Regions from separate parts of the Mus musculus genome. Here region 2 is reported to be linked to region 1. The links are microRNA targets in miRTarBase. Many come from high-throughput screens and were not tested one by one. Region 1 holds a microRNA gene; the other region holds the end of a gene's coding sequence.

Region 1 (7,099 bases):
CACTGGCCATGTGTGTTGTTTATGTGTCTAAGTAAGATGGAAACAATGGATGAAGACACTGGCCATGTGTGTACGGTACATGTCTTAGTCAGGGTTTCTATTCCTGCACAAACATCATGACCAAGAAGCAGTTGGGGAGGAAAGGGTTTATTCAGCTTACACTTCCATACTGTTGTTCATCACCAAAGGAAGTCAGGACTGGAACTCAAACAGGTCAGGAAGCAGGAGCTGATGCAGAGGCCATGGAGGGATGTTCCTTACTGGCTTGCTTCCCCTGGCTTGCTCAGCCTGCTCTCTCATAGAACCAAGATTACCAGCCCAGAGATGGTGCCACCCACAAGGGGCCTTTCCCCCTTGATCACTAATTGAGAAAATGCCTTACGGTTGGATCTCATGGAGGCATTTCCTCAACTGAAGCTCTTTTCTCTGTGATAACCCCAGCTGTGTCAAGTTGACACAAAACTAGCCAGGACAGTACACACAGGTTGCTCTCAGTTTAGCAAATTGGATGCAGTAATCTGTCACCAAATCTCGAGCAGTCGTTCTGTTGTTGGAGGATGACTGCTGGTGGTGGGATGAGCTATAGTTCTAGTCCTGATGAACTCAGCCATGACATTGACTAATCTGTTCTGCCTTTTAGTATTGCCACAATGTAATTCAGTTAGGATGAAGTGAATAGTGTGGGCCCTGCAAGGCACCGGTGAAGCCCAGCTGTGGACTGCAGGCTGAATTAACACAGCTAGCCGGGAGTTTGAACCAGCATTCCCTACGTCCATTTTTCCTACAGACTGTTCCATTGCGGTTCCTGGAGTGCCGAGTTGTTTGTTCTCATGAGAATGCTGTAAGGACTAGATATAGAACTTTGGTAGTATTCTCTCTTTCTTCCCCTTTCTCTCTAGCTCTCTTCACTCTCTCTCTTTTTCCTTTTCTTGAGACAGGTTCTCACTCTACAGCTCTGACTGGCTTCAAATTTTCTCCTGCCTCTGCCTCCTGAGTGCTGGGATTAAAGGTGTGTGCTACAATGCCTGACCTTTCTGTTGCTAAGAGGTGTGTGTGTGTGTGTGTGTGTGTGTGTACACACTGTAGTGCACAAACATGAAGGCCAGAGGACAATTTTGACAGTTAATTCTTTTCTTCCCCCATGGAGGTTTCAGGAATTGAACTCAGGTTGTCAGTTTTGTGGCAAGCCCTCTTACCCTCTGAGCCATCTTGCTGGTCCTATGTTAGTCTTTTGCTAACTTGTATTATTCCCACCCCTTCCCATGTGAATTGCTTTGAAGAGTGTTTCGCTTCTGCACAGGTGCTTGGAACATTGGGTGAGATGAGACCCCATCCGATTCCAGCATCAGATCGGAGCTGAATTTTGCTGGTGTTTGCTTATCTGTCTGTCCTGTCCTCAGACCCCTGACCTGGAGCCGCTGGAACCCACCATGGAGGATGTGGAGAACATCAGTGATTTCGAGCCTTTGTTCTCGGAGGAAACGCCCGAAGTGGAGAAGCCGCAAGTCACCACAGTCCAGGTTTGAGCACTGTTACCAAGACCACCTGTACATTTGAAGCTGTTTGCATAAGTGACCGGCCCAGTCCGCTTCTTGGGGAGCACTGGAGAGCCCCGTTGTGCTCTCAGCCTCAGTCAGAGGCTTTCCCCTGCTGGACAGTTGAGGGGCTGGCGCCATCCCTCATGTGAGCACTGCCAGTGACTGAGGTCTCCAGACCTGCACATGGGCTCTTAGCCATTATCACCATCCTTACTGGGGTCTGTGCCTCTTGTTATGCTGGTAGCAGCAAAATAAAATGACTGAACCTGAGCCCTTGGGGATGGGGGGAGGTGTTGAACCAGGGTGAGCAGGGACAGGGTCTGTCCCTCTGGGCCACTTGACTGCTGCACTTCAGAGTCCCTTCCTGTAACTTGGGGCTCAGGCGTGACACAGTGTATGGGGATTTGTCACTTTGAGTGTGAGCAGAGGTAGAAGGCGGAGCTTGAAGGGAGGAGAGCTGAAGACTGGTGGTACTGGGCTGGAGGAGATGTGGTTTGAGAAAACTGACAGCGAGCAAATGGTCATCTTAGTCTAAAAACATCTCTTAAACCTTGGGTTTGAAGCCCGTGTTTAACTTGGCAGCGTATCATCAGCTGTCTGTTGGGACAGAGAGGATCCGTGCTCCGGAGATTATTTTCCAGCCATCCCTCATAGGAGAGGAGCAGGCGGGGATTGCAGAGACCCTCCATTTTGTCCTGGACAGGTGAGCCGTGATACCCCCTCAGCTTCCCGAGCCAGCTCTCACCATTGCTGCCTGGATGCAGGTAGTCTGCCCACTGACCCAGGCCTGCAGGCAGAACAGGTACAAGCTCCAGTCCTTCATCTGTGAGCTTTACCAACTAAGCCTTTGAGTCCTGGCCAGGATGTCCCCTGGCTTTCATGTGAAATTTGCCATTGCTAAAAGCCAGTGATCATTTTATTTGTGTGTTCACTGAGTTGGGGTCTCCCTATATACTCGTCAGCCTTGACCTTGAAGCTTCAGAGTAGCTGGGATCACAAGTGTAGACACCATACCCCTGAGAGACTAGTGATTTTTATTTCATCTTGTTTTTAATTATGGGGGAAGAATGCACACTTGGCCTATAGTATGGAGTTGTGAATGAAAACAAAAATACTGGTTTAGTTTCTTTTAATTAGAGTTGACTGTTGTACCAAGAGCTTGCCTCTCCAGGTCTTGCTTCCATGGGCTCAGCAGCCAGATTGGTGCACGCTTTCTCTCCTAGGTACCCAAAGGCCATTCAGGACACCCTGGTTCAGAACGTTTTCCTTACCGGTGGGAACGTGATGTACCCAGGCATGAAGGCCCGAGTGGAGAAGGAGCTGCTGGAGATGAGGCCCTTCCAGTCCTCCTTCCAGGTACAGACTGCTCTCCCCACCCACTGTTTGTGATTGGCATCCCAGCCACTGACTGCAAAGTCAAGGTGTAAAGACTGGACTCTGCAATCCCATCATCCACTGCAGAGGTTCATTGCTGGCCTTGTCTTTAAGCCACAGTCAGCTTATGCGGACGGCAATCCTACTTGTATATCGCTCTGCTCTTCTGTTAGTTGACAGTATTGAGCGTGTTCTGAAATCCAAAGAGCATCCGCAGCAGAGGGGATCGTCACCTATGTCTTCCCATAGTGAAGGCTTCGTCTCTGGCTGTTTACTTATCTCTGGACAGGGTCTTGTTTCTCTGCAGTAACCAGGAAGATGCTTTGATGGCTCCTCTCTGCATAGTTGTTACTTTAGGTCAAGTGAGACTTGGAAGGAGCCTGAGCCACGAGTCATGTGATTAATTTACATTTTTAGGGAGGTAGTATAAGGTCAGCCTGAACTAATGAGTGAATTCAAGCCAGCCTAAGTTATACAGACTCATTCTCAGAAATGTTCAAGAGGAGAGGGTGAGGTTTTTCACTAGATTAGGAGTGATGGACAGGCTTGAAGTGGAGGAAAATGCACTGTCTCAGGCTGTGGCTAGCACTCAGGTAAGAGGCCATTAGGAACTCAGGGCCCCCCTGGGAGAACAGGGAACACCAAGGATCCAGCCCTAACCACAGCCTTTAAGGGTGCTTGGGAGCTGGAAGACATCTCGGTGAAGTTGAGGAGAGAGGCAGCCGGAAGAGGAGGGATAGCAGTGTTGACACCAAGGCGTGGCTTTTCAGGCTGTAAGCCTGTGCCTGACTGGACCTGGCAGGGCAGCTGAGGAGGAAGTTGTTGGGTAAAGGGCTCTTGGAACGGTCACGCTGTCCACTTGGCAATCCGAGAATCCCCCTGCCATGCTGTGAGAGCCTGGTTGTAAGAGCGCTGCTTCTCACGCCCCACCCACCCTGCCACCCATGTCCTGTATCAGTTTGGTGGGACGGCAGCATCAGGTAGCAGTAGCTCGTGTCCAATTATTTTACACTAACTTTAAAACACTGACTTTCACCGGGTGGTGGTGGCACACGCCTTTAATCCTAGCACTTGGGATAGGAGGCAGAGGCAGGCGGATTTCTGAGTTCGGGGCCAGCCTGGTCTACAGAGTGAGTTCCAGGACAGCCAGGGCTACACAGAGAAACCCTGTCTCGAAAAAAAACAAAACAAAACACTGACTTTCTAGGGCTGGGCTGGGGCTCAGTGCGGAGCATCTGTCTGGATCCTGAGGCTGGGAGCTCAGTCTCTAGTGTGATACAAACAGGACGGATCACATTGTTTTTCTTTTGCTGGTTTTACTGTCTTTGTTATCTTTGTAATTTTTGTGGTGCTGGTGGAAGCCTAGAGCCACTTACAAGCTGTGCAGGCCACTACCTGCTCAGCCGTGTCCCAGACAATTAAATGAGCTGAAGTGAAAAGAGGAAACATGGTAGGGCCTGGAGAGGTGGCTCAGTGGTTAGAGCACTTGCTGCTCTTGCAGAGGCCCTGGGTTTGGGTCCCAGCACCTTCGTGGCGGCTCACAACTGTCTGTAGGCCAGATTCGTGGAGATCCACTGCCTCTTCTGGCCTCTATGAGCACTGGACATGTAAATACTACACAGCCACCCGTGCAGGCACATACACACACACACCTGGGCAACTGTGTACTCTCACAATGGAGGCATCTCTGGGCCTTTCTGTGTGCTTCTGAGGATGTACAAATGGTTGGCTGAGGCAGCAGAACCTTCCTGACTGGGCCGGGAGCCCTGGGAGGAGACGTGGATTCTTTAGAGTGCATCTGCGTCTTGTTCCAGGTTCAGCTCGCCTCGAACCCTGTGCTGGATGCGTGGTACGGTGCCCGTGACTGGGCCTTGGATCACCTAGAAGACAGTGGAGCCTGGGTCACCAGGAAGGACTATGAAGAAAAGGGGGGCGAGTACCTCAAGGAACATTGCGCCTCCAACACGTACGTCCCCATCCGCCTGCCTAAGCAGGCCTCACGTGCCTCAGAGACGCAGACTTCCGGCCGAGGCTCCAGCGCCAGTGGAAGTGGGGCTGGTGATCAGGCCTAGCAGGGGGGACGCCAGATGACCTTGTGCTTCACCCTTGCCATGGAGGCAGTGTTTGGGACAAGGACAGTGCCCCATGGTGCTGCCTGGGTCTGACAGCCTTGTTTGGCCAGTGACTGGATCTCCCCTGGGAGCCCAGCAGAGGAGAGCAGGTGATCTACCTCAGTGAAGGACACAGTGGCCTCTGGCACCAAGAACTGTGGACAAGCTGGGGGACTGCCTTCCTCAGCAGTGAGGGAAACAGCTGGAGGGAGAAGTGGGCAGTGCTGCTCTTTGCACTGTTTTGTTTTGTTTTTAAAGCTCTAAAGTTATCCATGGAGTGTTTATTCTGTGTGTGCCACTGTCCTGTGTGCCACTGTCCTCTGACTGCGCAGAGTGTGCTCCAAGCTGCTGCTGAAGCAGTGGAAGTGGCCGTCCACTGAGCCCCTGGAGTGGGAAGACCCACCCCGCCCCCACCCCATTCTCTGCCTGGTTCCTGTCTTAAGTGGAAGGTGGCGCTTGTGTCCAGCCTTCTAACTGTTGCTTTGCTGGAGATGCTCCCACACTGTGAAGCCTTGCCAGAGATTTGTGTTCGTCTGTTTTGTGGGTTTGTTAGTGACATGCCCTTTTCAGGCCGCTCCGCAGAACTGACGGGGGCGGGGGAGAGCCCATCCCAGGGACTTTTCATTTGTCTCTGTCCCCCTGCCCCCACGCTTTTACAGTGTGACCTTGACCAGGTAGCTGCCCTCTTCCCCTTCTGCTGCTTTAGGGCTAGGGTCTCATGGTGCAGCTCAGGCTGGCTTCACCTCAGTCTTCCTGCCTCAGCCTTCCTTAGTGACACACCCACACCCTGCCAAACATCATTTTTTATAGATTGTTGCTAAGATTGTTAACTCTCAGACACACCCAAGAACTGAGCCCAGTGGCTCCGGAGCTCATGGCACCACAGAAGCCACGTCCAGATCCCAGGAACCTTGAGATGCTGCTACGGTGCACGCAGCACACAACCTGTTTGCTCAGTGTGCCTGAGCAGTCTCCTGTATCTCCGGTCCTCAGGCTGGGAAACTGCAGGCCTGAAGGGGCCGTGTGTCTAGGGGGAGAAGACCCTGGCAGTTGACCCATGAGTTCTAAGGTGTTTCCTATTGCCTGTGCTAGGCTGGGCCAAGGACTGATGGGATGGCAGAAAGAACATGGACCAATCTCCATAGGAGAGATGTATTCATAGCACCATCCAGGGCAAGAGATGGTGCTGACCACTGGCCATCCATCTTAGCCTTTCTTCTTCAGTTTAAATGAGATAGCCTTGGAGGACAGGCAGGTGGTGAAGGGCCCGGAGTGGGTGAACCTGGTGCTTCACACAATGCAACGAGCAGTAGGCTGGATAGCTCAGGTTTTTAGGCAGTGGTCAACACAGGAGGAGATTGGGAGCTGAGGGCCAAGGGGCTGAGCTGCGAGCTCTCTAGTTTTGTCTCCTGTGAAGTATGTCAGACCTTTTACCTTTGGCCTCCAATTGGCCCTTAGGGAATCCTACCCATTCCCAGAGCTAGCCAGGAGTTTGCTACCTGCAGTTTTCCTAGGCCTTCAACACAAGTATTCACCATGTACTGTGGGCCTTAGACTCTAGCTGGTCCTTTGTAAGCAGTGACGTTTCTCTCAAGATCAGGAGTTATGTAGGACAGAGGGTGCCTTGGCCTTCAGAGCTGTGAAAGAAAAAACATCTTGCTCTGTCCCCAACCTGCTCTTTGGAATTGGTCACAGAAGCCAGGAGGCCAGGTGGGAAGCTGGTAAGCCATACAAGAGGATGTAACTTGTCCCCAGCCCAGGAGACATCATCAAAGATTCACCAAGAACTGGTGTGATGAGACCGGCCCTGCGTGACTATTTTACCTAGCGTGATGTCACAGATGTCACGGCATCCTGAGCGGCAGTTGTGTGTATTGTCTCCTGTCTCTCTCCCTTGTCCCTACACACACACACACACACACCCTTGTTTTAGGAATGGTCTGACAGTCATTGGCTACCCTAGTCCTCACTGTGTAAACCCGGTTGTCCCAAAGCTTGTGGTAGCCCTCCTGCCTCTGCCTCCAGGATGCTGGGATTGTAGACGTGAGCCAGCACACCGGGCTGTTCCATGCTTGC
Region 2 (7,103 bases), not on the chromosome of region 1:
ACACACACACACACACATACACACACACACACACACACCACACACAGATCACACACACATACACATACCCACGATCACACACACATACACATACGCGCGCACGCCCGCTCGCGCGCGCACACACACACACACACAGATCACACACACACAGATCACACCCACACCCACACATACACCCACACACCACACACACACTGACCTCCAGCTCATCCTTGGAGGCCGCATCCAGCATCACGAGGTCCTTCAGGAAGGTTCCCAGGTAGGGAACCACACCCTGCAGGCAGAGATGGCAGAGATCAGGATGTGAGCCCTTCTCCCTTTCCCTCAGACACAACTGTGTATTCTCCTCACCAGGTAAGCCACCCATTCCCAGCCCCACTGAACACTCACCCCACCCCTGAAGCCAGACCTTGGGGCCTTCTTGGAGTGTGGCTCCACAGGGGGCTGCGGCTTCACTTCCTGGTGACAAAGCAAGGTGAGAGAGGAGGGGGCTGGGGAGGAGGGGGCAGGTGCAGAGAGGCTGGGGAAAGCAAGACCGCCCTCACCTGCATGAGGAGCTCTCTGCTCTGGGAATAATTATCCTCCTCTGAGAAAATCTGGCACAGGCTGGAAAAGACTCGGAGGCTGTCCCTAGAGAGGAAGAACAGGCCTCTGAGCACAAGCCTGGCGTTCCGAAGCTTCCGCACCCCAGGCCTCGGGCACTTCAGTCCTCCTACCTGGTTGTCTCCCCCCAGGCTGCCCGAAGCCTGTGGATAGGGCTGGACTGCAGAGCGGACACAACAGCATACACTGAGGAGAAGTTCCGAAGCAGGCGGCACTCCTGTGAGGACCGGAGAACAGTCAAGGCTCTAGGGTCCCTCACCACTCCGGAGACGAAGAGTCCCCAGCCAGCAGGCCTGCTCTCTCTTACCTCGGCCACACGGATCCACTTCTCTAGGAGCCGGGCCCTCTGTGGGGGCCGCAGTGGTCTCACAGTCACCTCTCTTGGCCCCTCTCCAATTGAGGTGGCCCCCAAGACAGAGCTAACTACCGCCCCCGCCACCTTGTTGAACTGTGTGACGGTAGCTCGGACAGACGGGCAGAGGTGAGAATGTCCTGGCCGGTCTCTGTGACCCCAGAGGCCTCCCAAACACTGAGAGGGGATCAGATTAAGAAACAGTTCCTGCAGGGCAGAGGTTACAATTTAGAGTCAAGCCAGACAAGTTTCCAGTATCAGGGATCTGAGGCTCTTAAGTGGCCAGGGACCAGTGGGGCCAGAGTTCAAGGGGAACAGCCAAGGGGCGAAGGGCAGAGAAGGGTCAGAGAAGCAGACACGGAAGAGGAACTGCACCAGGACAATTGGAAGCAAGAAAAGGATCCGGAGCCAAGGAGAGGTTAGTAAGGGGGCAGAGAGTGTGGGGTCAAAGGTCAAGGTCTCACCGCATCTAGCAGGGTCAGCTGTTCGGCCAAGTGGTCAGCGAGGAACACCAGGACATCCGTGGGGTCAGCAGGGGAATCGCCAGGAAGGGCCAGGGGCTTAGGAAGGTCGGGGGCCCGGGGGTCCACCCGGGCCCGGAGGTTTCGGATGAGGTCAGCACTGCCCCCCACAACACCCTCCCGTGCTGCATACCCTGTCCGAAGCAAGAAGCTCTCAAGCCGGTCAAGTTGACCCTTGACCTCAGAGCCAAAATCCTCAGGGTGAGAGGCCAGCCAAGTTGAAAGTACAGAGATGGCTACCCTGAGAGAAGGGGAATCAGCCAGGGGTCAGAGGTCTAGCCTCAGCACCCTGAGGGGACTGAGGTTCAGACAGGGCCACTCACCCTGTGGTCCTCTCTAGCTCACCGGGAGGATGAGATTCAAGGGCTTCCAGCCTGGGGATGAGGAGAGGGTCTACCTTGTGGCTTTTCCAGCCCCCGCTGGTGCTGGGGGTGCTCAAAGGGAATCCAGGAGCCTCCTAACCCTTGGCCCCTGACCTGTCAGCCACAAGCCCAAACAGGGCAGGAGTGGAGGTGAAGGCCCGGTGGGTGGCCAGCAAGGCCGGAGTGAACATCATGTCAGCCCCTGCTGTCCTGGCATCCAAGAGGTGTCTGACCAGGGCCTCCAGAGTGCCAGCGCGGAGCCGTCGGGAGGAGCGAGGTGGAGGCAAGGGAGCCTGGAGAACATGGAGGGTGTCTCACCGACGGGCCTCCTCAATCTGACTGCTAGACATCTGGGATAATCCAGATCTAGCTTATTTCTGCCCCGGTTCAGAAATGGCTTAAATCACACAACACAGAACTACCTTCACACTACCAGAACTTCTTCAACCTAATGTTCCGGAAAATAAATAAATAAATATTAAATTAAAAACCGAGAGGCAAGACCTCAAAGTCGTGATCTCACCAAGGGGTCAAGAGGCCTGTACTGGCGGCTTGTGACAGTAAAGGTCGCACCATCCTCCTCCTCGTCCCAGACTGACACAGAAGCCTGGAGGAGCAAGAAGAGGAAGTGAGTTCCACAGCACCTCCAGTCCCCAGCCATTGTCCCCAGGCCCTGTTCCTCCCTCTGCACCCCTCACCTGTGATGGCGGGGGACAATACCAGCGAGTGCGAGGGGTAGAGGGTACTGGTGACCCCAGGTCTACCCCACCCTGGGGCTCAGACAGCCCCCCCGGCCACCTCAGAGCTCGGTGGGATGGAAGAGGTTGCAGTGAGGGTTTCAACTGAATGCAGGAACCCCTCTTCTGGCCACCTCCAACCCCCCTTGTCCCACAGCTGAGCCCAACGCAGAAAAGCAGGGCGCAAAGTCAGGAGCAGAGCGCGCCCGAAGAGGCACAAAGCCAAAGGAAGAGAGACCTGAAGCAGAGAGAAGCTGAAACTTCACAAGGCCCGCCCTCCCTGACAGAACCAGAGGAGCCCAAATTTAGTCCTTCCGCAGAGACTCCTTTTCCCCAGGTCCCCAATACAGCTTCCACTTAATCTCAGCACTGGGGACCCCCTGAAGGTGGCGGCTCCAATCCCAGTTACAAGAAGGGGAAGTAAGGATGATGGGGGGGGGGGGCGGTAGACTCAGAGTCATGTGGCCCTAGCCCCTCCCCCGACCGATCCCGAAAAACCAGCCTTGCTAGTCACCCTAACTTTACCAATGTCGGGGCCCAGGAGTCTGGATCCTCGGGCTCCGAATCTAACTTCTGGACCCTCCTGAATCCCTAAATCTTGCTGCGGACTACATCCTATCAGTCTCTTTGGACGAAGATGACCACGCTCTACCTATCCCGGGATCATCTCTCCAGGTGCCGGAACCTCTTGGCTTGCTGCCCTCTATTGAGCACCAGGGGGTGGGGGAAGAGGCGGCGAAATCTGAGGGTTCCCTCCCCAATCCTAGAGTCTGAGGAGCTGGTTACTGTGGAAACAAACCCCTCCCAGCCAAACAAAAAACGAGGAGGGAGACAGGGACCAAGATACAACTGCCCAGTGGCACCCGTCTAAGCAGGTATGGGCAAAGAGGGCCTGAGCCCCGCAGGCACAGTCAGCCCGTCTGCCAGCCAGCCATTCTGGTTCCGGCAGGTTCCTACGGGCAGGTTCCGAGCAGACAGACAGGGCGAACTTCATAGACACCAGGACCCGCAGCCAGGGGACAGATATCCAGAGAGAGTGTGGCGGGCGGGATGCGAGTGAGGCGGGGAGGAAGAGACCGAGGGACCCAGAGACACCGAAAGGAGGAGAGTCTCAGAAATATTTAATGCCCTGCCTCCCGCCACCCGCGTCTCACCTCTTCTTCTTCCTCATCCTCTTCCTCCTGCCCCCCGCCCACGGCCCGGCCACCTGGGTCCCCACCCTCTTCGGGGTCCCGGCTCCGGAAGCTGCTCAGCACGACTCCCCCGGGGGGGGTCGTGTCCAAAAGCAGCCGCAGGGGCCGCGGGAGCATGGCCGAGAGAAGCAATCAGCGGGGTCGGGCCATGGGGGCGCCTGGGGAGAGACGGGTGGGATTGGGTGGAGTCAGACGGGCGTGGGGGAGACGGACAAGAAGGGACCTAGGTGGGAGTCCCTGAGGAAGGCTGGGGGAGGGAGATACGGGAGTGGGGAAACCCAAGCCCTCGGTGCTTGCTTGGGACTTGGGGGCTAACTAGTGCGGAATGGGCAGGGTCACCCGGTGCTCCGGCTCTGACCTGCTCGGGAAGGGCGAGGGCTGCGCGCGGGTCCCGGGCCTCTGTTCTTGTCGGTCTCTGGCCCTCTACCGAGTCCCCTCCCCGGCTTTTCCGCGATGCCCCCCTCCTGCACCCCGCCGGGCTCCCGGGCCCTCCCGCCCTTTCCGCTTCCCCCCTCCCCGCGTCCGCCCGACAGCAGGAGCCAAAAAGGGAAGGAAGTGAGGACAGGAGCCAGGGAGAGCGACTAGGGGAGTGCTGGACGCCAGGGGCTGGGACGCAGGCTGCAGGTGCACTACTCCGCTGTCCCTTGCAGCCCCACTCGGTGGCTCTGAAGCCCGCGTCTCGCAGCAGACACGCTGGAGACCAGGGTCCTGTCTCAAGCCTCCACAGGAAGGCAAACACGGAATTTTAAGTCACTTTTTCTAACCAGAGCGGCGCTGCAACTGCCGAGGAAAGTGCCCTAGCAGTGGCGCGACCCCGTTACTGCAGCTCGAGAATGACACTGCCGCCCCGGCACGAGTGCAACGGAGCGAATCCGCGCCGGGTTTTCTGTGCCGCCCTTATGCCCGCCCACTCGCGGGGAGGGGGCGGAAGCCGGCTAGTGCGGCGCTTCCGGTTCCACTCGGGTCCGTCGCTCCGGGCGTCCGGCTCTCACCGTGCGCCCGAGCGCGCGCGGTTCCCACGGTGGCTATGTCGTCTCCCGGGTGCGAGACGAGGACCGGGAGGTGACCGAGGTTGGCTGTGCTTGGAAACGGGAGAATGAGAGGCCCGCATGGAAACTCGGAAAGACTTTATTAGCTCACGAGGACCGGCGAACAGGAGAGGACGAACCACACGGGGACATTCGTAAAGGGCCGAGACCCACCAGGCCCGGAGATGGTAAAGGTGGACCAGGCAAAAGAAAAGCTGTGGTAGGAATGGAGAGCTGGAGAGGTAGGCTTTAGTCCGCGAGGGAGACACATGGACCTTTCCGTCTCTAGACTACTGCTGTGGGCTGTCCCTGAGGTCTCTAGAATCTTAAGATGCTATGAAGACCTTTCGTCCTAATCCCCTGGCCAGTGGTTCTCAACCTTCTTAACATTAACGCAGTTCAAGTTGTAAAATTATTTTCTTTGCTACTTCGTAACTGCCTTTACTACTGTTGTGAATCCTAATGTCTGGTATTTCCGATGGACTTAAAGGGGGTTGTGAGCCACAGGTTATGAACCCGCCTCTCTGGCGCATACACTGGTTCTTCTCAACCCTGGGACTCTACGCATGTGTGTTCTTATATTTAGTTCTCTCAACAAAGCCCCGCCAAGTAACCCCGACTGACCTGAAACTCCCTATTTGTAGATCAGGCTGGCATGGAAATGTCAGAGATCCACTGCCTCTGCCTCCCGACTGTGGGCATCAAATGAGTGTGGCGCTAAGTCTCGCTTTTTTCTCATCTTAAAAGTTTAGTTCGAGTCCAGCGGTGGTGGCGCACGCCTTTAATCCCAGCACCTGGGAGGCAGAGGCAGGCGGATTTCTGAGTTCGAGGCCAGCCTGGTCTACAGAGTGAGTTCCAGGACAGCCGGGACTATACAGAGAAATCCTGTCTCCAAAAACCAAAAAAAAAAAAGACCTCTAGGCATGGTGTCCAGTGCCGTTTGTCACTCCGAGGCAGAGGGACAGGTGGATCTCTGGGACTTCGAGGCCAGCCTGGTTGGCTTGGTGAGGGTTCAGGACAGCCAGCCAAGGCTACATAGAGAGACCTTGTCTAAAAACAAGAACAAAACAAGAAAGATTGAAACAAACAAAAAAACCTTAAAAAAAAAAATCCGAGCTATTCAATGGAGGGAGAAGAAGAGAAGAAGGCTGTTGTTCTGGGGCAGGGGCTACTGGAGTCATCTGGGCCAGAGATGAGGGTGGCTTCCACAGACGAGAACTTCTTTACTGTGACTTCTGCAAGAGAAGAAAGAAGTGGGGAATTGGAAGTGTTGGGAGGGAAGTGAGTTTCTCCCAGTTAATGTAGAAACATTCTCACAGTTACAGGCGTGGGAGCAGGCTGGGGCTGTCATTTCCCACCGGCCAGACATGGTCATGAGTGTCCTCGCTCCTGAGTCTTCCAGAAGACCCAGTGGGTCAGCTGAGAATCCAAGCAAACCCCACCCCTGGGCTGTGCTCTGAGCTTTGGAAGTCCTTATGTTGTCTACATGTTTACATTGCCTGGATAGGTCAGAGCCGGACTTGGCCACTGCCGCACAGTGGTCTCCCAGGCCACTCCCTGTCACACTTTAGGAGCCTTTCCCTCCATACAGTCTCTTTGCTGCCTATTCTCATGCTTTGATGGTATCCCACTTTACCCTGTAATAAATTCTGATTGTCTTCTGCACTTTAAAAACTTATGCTGGGAGACACTCAGCAGGCAGACTCAATCACTGGTCTGAGTTTGATCCAGGATCGTACAAGGTTGTAGGAGAAAACTGGTCCCAAGAGTTGTCCTCTGACATCCAACCTTATGTGTGGTAACACACCACACACATTCATATGCACACATAGGGGAAAATCTTTAAGAGGAAGAAAGACGGGCTAGTGGGGTAGCCCAGGGGGTAAAGGTACTTGCCGTTCTGAGTGTGATCCCCAAGACCCATGGGGTAGAAGGAGAAAACCAAGTCCCACAAATTGTTTTTTGACCCCCACATGTCTGCTGTGGTATACACAGTCCCACACAAATAAATGTAACTTCTAAGCCGGGCAGTGGTGACACACGCCTTTAATCCCAGCACTCGGGAGGCAGAGGCAGGTGGATTTCTGAGTTCGAGGCCAGCCTGGTCTATAGAGTGAGTTCCAGGACAGCCAGGGCTACACAGAGAAACCCTGTCTCAAAAAGCCAAGGCAGGAGGGAGGGGGAGTGTCATCCTCAAATATGTAGCAAGCTTGAGGGCAGCCTGAGCTACATGAGACCTGTATCAACAGAAACTTAATAAAATGTGTGATTAAATTTTACCTGTTTCATTTAACTCCTCTCTCCCCC

The links. The annotated mature microRNA mmu-miR-3474 reads CCCUGGGAGGAGACGUGGAUUC and lies in region 1 at 4,677-4,698, shown strand. An mRNA with a match to its seed (bases 2 to 7 or 8) in the 3' UTR can be bound and repressed. Matches are read on the target gene's strand: a 7mer-m8 pairs with bases 2 to 8, a 7mer-A1 pairs with bases 2 to 7 and ends in A, and an 8mer does both.
Region 2: the mRNA of Tapbp is a reported target of mmu-miR-3474. Seed matches in the 3' UTR shown: 7mer-m8 at 5,590-5,596 and 7mer-m8 at 5,348-5,354.

What each region holds. Positions count from the first base shown.
Region 1 is chr2:158,633,907-158,641,005 of GRCm38, forward strand. It overlaps Mir3474 (microRNA 3474), which reads left to right and starts at 4,677; the gene lies at 4,677-4,734. It overlaps Actr5 (ARP5 actin-related protein 5), which reads left to right. Exons shown (of 9, transcript NM_175419.4): 6 at 1,401-1,520; 7 at 2,102-2,241; 8 at 2,762-2,894; 9 at 4,727-5,305. The coding sequence ends at 4,984.
Region 2 is chr17:33,927,068-33,934,170 of GRCm38, reverse strand. It overlaps Tapbp (TAP binding protein), which reads right to left. Exons shown (of 8, transcript NM_009318.2): 8 at 4,881-6,031. The coding sequence ends at 6,020. It overlaps Rgl2 (ral guanine nucleotide dissociation stimulator-like 2), which reads right to left and starts at 4,277. Exons shown (of 18, transcript NM_009059.2): 1 at 4,127-4,277; 2 at 3,730-3,926; 3 at 2,362-2,445; 4 at 1,953-2,131; 5 at 1,800-1,850; 6 at 1,420-1,717; 7 at 911-1,162; 8 at 717-820; 9 at 546-630; 10 at 391-459; 11 at 200-274. The coding sequence starts at 3,885.